Cricetulus griseus: one gene and its partner. The protein of the gene in region 1 binds, or shares a complex with, the protein of each later gene. Links are inferred from orthologs where the notes say so. Each region holds a gene or a part of one and is shown in the gene's direction. Other genes may lie near its edges. The genes, in order: Gba and Scarb2.

Evidence for each region.
Region 2: the proteins of Gba (region 1) and Scarb2 are in contact, whole or in part, in a cryo-EM structure (PDB 9FJF), measured with the Homo sapiens proteins. The link is inferred for Cricetulus griseus from reciprocal best matches to the Homo sapiens genes GBA1 and SCARB2. Residues at the interface, in NP_000148.2 of Homo sapiens: Leu130, Asn131, Ala134, Ile169, Glu190, Lys194, Leu195, Pro430, Arg434, Ile445, Thr446, Asp448; in NP_005497.1 of Homo sapiens: Lys161, Ala162, Tyr163, Gln164, Lys181, Glu183, Leu187, Phe191, Arg192.

What each region holds. Positions count from the first base shown.
Region 1 is NW_023276806.1:65,351,720-65,356,072, reverse strand, and holds the start of Gba (lysosomal acid glucosylceramidase), read left to right. Parts: upstream 1-1,432; 5' UTR 1,433-1,618; intron 1,619-1,951; 5' UTR 1,952-1,984; coding exon 1,985-2,039; intron 2,040-2,291; coding exon 2,292-2,483; intron 2,484-2,595; coding exon 2,596-2,742; intron 2,743-3,727; coding exon 3,728-3,861; intron 3,862-4,080; coding exon 4,081-4,253; intron 4,254-4,353. UniProt on the Homo sapiens protein: Glucosylceramidase that catalyzes, within the lysosomal compartment, the hydrolysis of glucosylceramides/GlcCers (such as beta-D-glucosyl-(1<->1')-N-acylsphing-4-enine) into free ceramides (such as N-acylsphing-4-enine) and glucose.
Region 2 is NW_023276807.1:157,262,419-157,266,233, reverse strand, and holds part of Scarb2 (lysosome membrane protein 2), read left to right. Parts: intron 1-2,195; coding exon 2,196-2,343; intron 2,344-3,702; coding exon 3,703-3,815.

The sequences.
Region 1 (4,353 bases):
ATGGATGAACTAGAGGGGAGTTAGGCAACACTTCCTGGAATTCAGGAAATCTAAAAAAGGGTGGGTACAGACAGTCAGAGCCATACAGCAGTTCAATAAATATGACAATTTGCCACCTATCCCTGTGACATAGTAGATGCCACAAAGGCTTTGAGGCTGCCTAGAACAAGTAAAACATTGCCTTGAAGGTTCCCCAATAAACACTGCTTAGTTGCAACACTCAGTGTGAAGCACTGTTCTAAACACACTCATCTCAAAATAGCTCTGTGAGATGACAGGATCACTCCTCTTCTATAGATAAGAAGCAGACTTAGAGGAATTAATTTGCTGATCTCAACAAGATAACCAAACAGTAAATGATTGGGAGCTGTCAGGATTCAAACACTATGAATCTCCCAGAAGCTACACTTAAAGTCTGGATCTAAGATAAGTAATCAATTTTCAGAGGATATGTGGCAAAGACTTCACTGTTATAATCATAAAAACATAAGAGACTCAGTCAACAAGCATAAAGCTCCTGATGCCTATCAAGTGCTCCCACTTGGCTTATCTTCCTGACTCCTTTAATGCCCTGTGAGACTTTGCTGTTGTCTCTGTTTTCCAAGTGAGGAAACAGGCTTAGCGACATGGAATTAGTCAGATCGTATTGTATGTGTCACTGCCAATAAATTTAGCTTGATGTGGTTCACAGAGAATCCTGTGGACAGCCCTCCTCTGTGTCTACCAAAGATATATAACTTTATACAGCACTTTCCAGTTCTGGACTGCTTCACCAACCTCCCAGTCTTGTGTGGGGAGATGACATCTTTCTAGCCAGCATCTGATGATGAACTGAGGGGATCCAGGAAGAGGCAGTGGGCACTACTCCCCCCTCCTCACTCTTGCCACCCAGTGCTGGACTGTGACTCAGGGCACTTCACTGTAACTCCCTCCAGCGTCTCCTGTGTTAAGCCTTTGTGGAGAAGTCTTCAACCACAGAGGGTCCCTTTTCCTCTCAGGAAGTCCTCTATGCACACCTGTCAACATTGCTTTTGTCTTCATCTGTAACTGTGCAACTGTCTGACTCTTGTGCCTCACTAGTCTCCTTAGGGCAAAGACTGTGTGTATGTGTTTTATTTTTTAAATATGTTGTGTATATCCACTTGTGGGTATGTGCATGGGAGTGCAGGGATCCTTGGAGGCTACAAGTTCCTTCTGTCTTGAAAATGGAGCCTCTATGCAGCATTTCACACAAGTTCTTGTTCTAGCCTCTTCCTAAAGCTGTCAACCACGTAGGCTTCATAGGTCTTCTATCTCTCCAGCACTCTGGAACTGCCACAATCTTCTCCTTATCCATTGACCCTGAAGAACTCACGCCTGGAAGAGCCCGGCTGCCCACTACAAATATGGCTTCAATTGCTTCACTTCCTTATCACGTGATCACCTTAGTCATCACATGACTTTGTCCTCCCCTTTAAGCCGGAATTAACTTGCTGTGCCAGTCCGGATCCTGTAGCTATAGCTACATCCCTGTTTTTATTTCATAGGTCTTCTATCTCTCCAGCACTCTGGAATTGCCACAATCTTCTCCTCATCCATTGACCCTGAAAAGCTCAAGTCTTCACGACCTTCCAGAAAGGTAAGCAGGCAGGATTTCAATTTGCCTTGTCAACCTTGCTTCTAGAATTCAGGGAATGGCAGATTCTTTTTAAAAATTAAGGCCATCATGGCTCTTTGAGTAAGACACAGATGGAGAGAGGGCTGAAGGTTGAAATCGATGGGATAGGCAGAAAACTCACTAGCAGAGTGGCTGCAGAGAGGAACACATACAGTGTCTATGGGCATTGTCTAATCACTAATAAAGATGGGAGACTATGTTGTGGGCACCCACAGGCAGCTAAAGCCTGGCCAGGAGAGTGGTTAGGGGATAGAGAGGGGCTTACCTTCTAATCGTTCCTCATTCTGTTCTCAGGAGTGTCTCAAACACCTGGGCAGGGTAGGTGTCATGGCTGCCAGGCTCATAGGATTCTTCTTACTTCAGGCAGTATCATGGGCATATGGTAAGTGAGTCAAGGAGTGGGGTGGCAGCATGGATATTTCCTCTGCCCCGAGGTCGTTTGCAAACCTGCCACTATGGTGGTGAGCTTTTAGCAGAGGCTCTGTAACTCTTATAGTGTGCCTGAGACAACCATGGGCTGGGAGTACAGTGGAGGGATCTTTTAAAACATTGTTGTTCAGGCTCTTGACTCTCAAACCCACTCCCCTGACCATCCACTTTGATGCTTGCCTCCGTTTGTGCCCCTGACTTGTAGGTGCACAACCCTGCATCCCTAAAAGTTTTGGCTACAGCTCAGTGGTCTGTGTCTGCAATGCCACATACTGTGACTCTCTTGACCCCCTGACCTTACCTGCTGCTGGTACCTTCAGCCGCTATGAGAGTACTCGGAGTGGACGTCGGATGGAGCTGAGTGTCGGGTCCATCCAGGCCAATCGCACAGGCACAGGTAGTCACTTTATCTCTCACTCTAAGCATGGCTGGGCCCCCTGGCTCGAAATCACATCAGTTATCAGTATCTGTACACTGACTGTGCCCCTTTTTCCCCATGGTGTCCTCAGGTCTACTACTGACCTTGCGTCCAGAAGAGAGGTTCCAGAAAGTGAAAGGATTTGGAGGAGCAATGACAGATGCCACTGCCCTCAACATCCTTGCCTTGTCCCCCTCTGCCCAGAATCTGCTGCTCAAATCATACTTCTCTAGTGAAGGTGAGGAAGGGCAGAATAAGATTACACAGTATAAGTGATATCTTTTTTTATACCCTGGCTTTATTTTTTAAATTTCTATTACATTTTACTATTTATTGTATGTGCTGAGCATGGGTGTGGGGCCAGAGAACAATTTTCAGGTGTCCATCGTCTCCTTCTACCATGTGGATTGTGGGGATTGAATCAGGTCCTCGGGCTTGGCACCAGGCAGCCCTACCCACTGAGCCATCCTGCCAGCCTTTTTACTCTGGTTTTCATGTTCTTCCCTGACATTTGCCTCCTCCCTTCCTTCTCTTCTCCCCTCCTTTCTCTATCCTTCTCAGAGCAGGTCTCATGTATTCCAGATTCAAATTCACTGTGTAGTCACTGATGACTTTGAACTCCTGATCCTCCTGAGTGCTGGACTACAGATTGCGTCCTGTTTACTCAGTGCTGGAACTTGGGGCTTTATGCATTCTAGGCAAGCTTTCTGCAACCTGAGCTACATCTCCATCCTGCCTCTCTCTTTCCTCTTCCCCTCTGTTCCTTTCCTCCCTCTTTCTGTATCAGCCTTGCCGTGACTGGCCTCAAACTCCTCCTGACTTGGTCTCCCAAGAGCTGGGATCACAAGTCCCCAAGTGTTTGTACCTCAGTGCGACTGAAACGAGATAGATTTTTAATATTCTAAGTATTTAAGGGGGCATGAAAACTGCTCAAGAGGGGCTTGTTCTTCACTCAGGTTCTGGTTCCTACAGTTCCATGCCCCATTCCCTTTGGAGAAGGGACTGTATTGAATGAGACCCCATTGAGGACTAACACACGATTAAAGCCAATTTCCACACTTGCCTTCCCCCCCCCCTCTCTCTCTCTCCCTCTCGCCCTGACTAGCCTACTCACAAGGATCTGTTAGCCTCTAGAGGTGTGGCATTACAGTCATGGTGCCACCTCATTCAGCTCCATACTCTATTGAGCCAGGTTTCCCTATCTTGGCCATCCTTTTCTGCAGGAATTGAATATAACATCATCCGGGTGCCCATGGCCAGTTGTGACTTCTCCATCCGAATCTACACCTATGCTGACACCCCTAATGACTTCCAGTTATCCAACTTCAGCCTCACAGAAGAAGACACCAAGCTCAAGGTGGGCATTCTGGTTGCTTCAGATACCTCTTGGTATTGCTGTCTGGGGACTGGGAAGGTCCAGGCTAGAGCTTTCTGCAGATCTAGGTAGAATCTTCTCCTGCAGCCTGTTTGACCTGGGGGTAGGAGGGTGGGTGACGGCAGTTGGACCTGATGCACTGGTTAGGCTAGTTTGTGTTCCAATTCTGGGTGTCTCTCTCTCCACGACATCTGTCTCCAGATACCCCTGATTCACCGAGCTCTGAAGATGTCCCCACGCCCCATCTCACTCCTTGCCAGTCCCTGGACATCTCCCACTTGGCTCAAGACCAATGGAGCAGTGAATGGGAAAGGGTCACTCAAGGGTCAGGCAGGGGATGTCTATCACCGGACCTGGGCCAATTACTTTGTCAAGTAAGGGATCATCAGGGCCTTGGGGACTGGGGTCTGTACCAACCTCTCTTTTGGACACCTTGGTCTATATCCTACCCTTTGACCTGCTCCCCTTCCAGAT
Region 2 (3,815 bases), on another chromosome or scaffold:
TAGTCACCACTCATCATCATTTGGATTCTCTCCAATCCTGTGAAGGGCCTAGTAAAGGTCCTTCATGGCTACTGTGTATAGTGCAGGGCTTAGCACTATGGGACATTCAAAGACTTGTCTATTCTTCTATTCTTGTGTATGCCCATTTATTACATGTGTTATGTTTTTGAAGAAAAAGAGGAGAAGAGGCGTATGAGACATGTTAACTAGTTTATTATAAGGCCCGGCAGAATAAGGGGACTAGGAGAGAAGAGGAACAGGGGTAATGGCTGACTGCCATGGCCGGTCGCCATAGAGAGGCAGAGAGGGCACGTAGGTGAGAGAGAGCGAAGAAGAAACAGAGAGAGAGTAGAGAGTAAAGAATAAAAGAGTAAAGAGAGAGCAGCAGGGAAGTTGGAACTTTTAAAGGGAAGACTGCACTTGCGCACTGAGGTTCCACGCATGCCCAGAGTCCTCACGCAGGCCGTAATGCGTGGTGGGTGATGTGATGGCACGTCCCTGTGCGTGCCCTGACTGTTGTCAGGGGGCGGGTTCTGCCTCTTAAAGAGATAGAGGCAGAGCCGATCAGCATCAAAGCCTGAACCTTTCAACATGTGCCTTTATTATTTTCTTATCTAGTCTTATTTTTTTGTTTGTTTTTTGTTGTTTTTCGAGACAGGGTTTCTCTGTGTAGCTTTGGAGCCTTTCCTGAAACTTGCTCTGCAGACCAGGCAAGAGCCTTAAACTCACAGAGATCCACCTGCCTCTGCCTCCCAACTGCTGGGATTAAAGGCTTGTGCCACCACTGTCCAGCCATTCTTATCTATTCTTATTTTAAATCTAGAAAGTATCAGACACAGGGGTGCATAGCTGTAATCTGAGTTCTCAGAAGGCAGAGGCAGGAGAGTTGCTATAAATTTGAGGACAGCCTGATCTGTATTGCGAGTTCCAGGTCAGCCAGAATTACATGGCAGGACTGTTGTTTTGTTTTTTAAATGTCATCAGCTGGCTTGCCATTTTATTGTTGACTACAAGGTAATTCCTTCACAATCTACACGACTTCACTCAGGTTTATAACCGAGTGCCTAAAGCAAGTACAATTAGCAAACTCTACAAATAGCAGATGGGTGAAAAAAAAAATCCCCAAGAACTGCCGAGGTCAGAAAGGGCCAGTGGAGGGAGGGGTCATGGCCCAGCTGCTAGGGGTCTTCTAATCTGTATGTGATTATAGAGTTTTAGATGACATTTTGTTAACTACATATGTAACTAAAGATTTTCTAAATAGATGTAGTGGCACATGCCTGTAATCTTAGCACTTGGAAGGCTGACACAGGAGGATTGCCCCAGTTGGAGGCCAACAAGGGCTACAGAGTAAAAGCCTATCTCAAACAAAACAAAAAGCTCCACCAAATTTAGAAAAAAAATATTGCATTAAAATAATATTTTATTTGGATTACCTTAGATACATCTTGCATTTCATACCTTCAGTGAATTCTTCCTCAAATTCACTCTAGGCCATATACCAAGCCCTGCCCCCTCCCTTTTTTAGACAAACTCTCACACTGTAGCCTGGAACTCACTACAGAGTCTGGACTGGCCGCTAACTCTCGGTCCATCAGCCTCCAGAGAGCTGGGATCACAGGCACAAGAAGTCATACCCACCCAGCCCAAGCACTTTGAGAGATGTGCTTTTAAATTGACGAAGTAATTTATAGTGTGTAAATATTTAATGATTAGCATAAATATTTAATGATTAGCTCTGACTAAATGGTATATTCATCATCTCAGATACTTGTCATTTCTTTATATTGGGAGCATTGAACAAACTTCTCATCTAGCTCCTTAGAAGTAATTATCAATGTCAACGATTGTTACCTATTATACTATACACCAACATCTTTCTAAGAGATTTTGTAATTTTGTAATTTTTGTAATTCAGGAAAGAGTTCATTGTTTGACTGTTATATCTCCCTGATTCTGGGAGGAAAAGAAAGTGGAACAATAGATTTTGAGAAGCGTTTCCTAGACCCTATCCCCTTTCAGCGTCTTGGCTCTAATCTGTAGTTTTTAAGAACTGAGTATCAACAGCCTACGTACATAGTCATTTTATTAGAAATGTTATATAGAAAAAATGTAACTTTAATACTGAACAGAGGGCTGGTTTGTTAATGTGGTATCTGTTTTCAAACAATGTGTTTGTTTGTTTGTTTGTTTAGGGAAATCAGGAACAAGGCAAACATCCAATTTGGAGAGAATGGAACAACCATATCGGCTGTTAGCAATAAGGCATATGTTTTTGAACGAAACCAATCTGTTGGCGACACTAATGTTGACTTGATTAGAACGATAAATATTCCTCTGTTGGTAAGTGGACCTCAAAGTATGGTTATCATGGGTTTGTGGAAGGAAAATGGCAAGCCTTATAGGTTCTATGTAATTTAAAAGCTATTATTTTATGATAAAATATAGATATGGGGGGCTTGTCTTGCTTAATGTGGTGAGTCCCTGAATTTAATCCTAGAACCACCATAAAAACAAACAAACAAGCATAAAATATGGACGTGCACAAAGACTTTATTTGTATGTGTTGGGGTGTGGGGGTGGGGTTGCTCCTGGCCTCCAGCTGGCTGTGTCAATCTCCTTTCCTTTGTCTTCCTAATCTTGAATTATAGGCATGCTCCAGTGGCAATGCCTAGCAAGCCTTTCATGTACATGTACTTTTATTAAGTATATAGATATAGACTTTTTCTGAGGTCAGTAAAACAAGGTCATTACAAAAGTTATTCAAAGATTAGGTCTCTGGGATTTTTCCTTTGGGTTCAGGATTAGCATTTATGCAAATAAGTAAGGAATTTTTTTTTTTTTTTTTTTTTTTTTTTGGTACTTATGCCATCCTGAGACTCAGGGTCTTTCTTTCTTGAAACTGGATCTCTTTTAGCCCAGGCTAGCCTTTGTTTTAGTGTGGTACTAGGGATCAAACTCTGGGCTTCCTGAGTAGTCCAGAAGGGGGTCAGGGGCTGCTTTACCCAGTGAGCCATATCCCTAGTCCTAATCCTCTGCACCAACTTCCTCTGAGGCTTCCACACTCTAGGAACCCAGTACCTTAAAGAGCACAGATGCTAAGTCTTGCCTTGCCCTGCTGCTAAAGATGTGGAGATTCAGTCACCAGTCTGCTCCAGGAGAAGTGGAGCCACCTGGTGGCTAAAGGTCCCTTTGCACTTATGGGATCTCTGTGATGTTGGGCATCATTCAGAACCCGCTAACAGGAATTCTAAAATCACAGTTACATTAAGGTGGATATGATCTGGTGGTCCAGGTCTGTAATCCCAGCTCCTTTCTGAGGTAAAAACTGAACAATTAAAAAGCTCAGACTGGGTTTCAGAGTCAGTTCAAGGTTAGTCTGGGCAACTTAGTGAGACCCTGTCTCAAAATTTACAAAAGGGGGCTGGGGCTTAGGATAGAGATCAGTGGTAGAGGGTTTGTCTACCATGCGCAAGGCCATGAAGTCCACACACACACACACACACACACACACACACACACACACACACACACACACACACACACAGAAAGGGCCATGGCTGAAATCTTACTTCACACACAGACAGGGAGGTCACTGGTTGGATTTTCTGTTTAGTTTCTGGCCCATTCTGCAGAGGGGCAGGCAGAGAGCTGGGTGGACATTTTGGAGGGGACACTGATTAATCTGCCTCTGCTCTGCAGACTGTTGTGGAACTGACCCAGCTGCCCCTGCTTAAGGAAATCATTGAGGCCATGCTGAAAACCTACCAGCAGAAGCTGTTTGTGACTCACACAGTGCACGAGCTGCTCTGGGG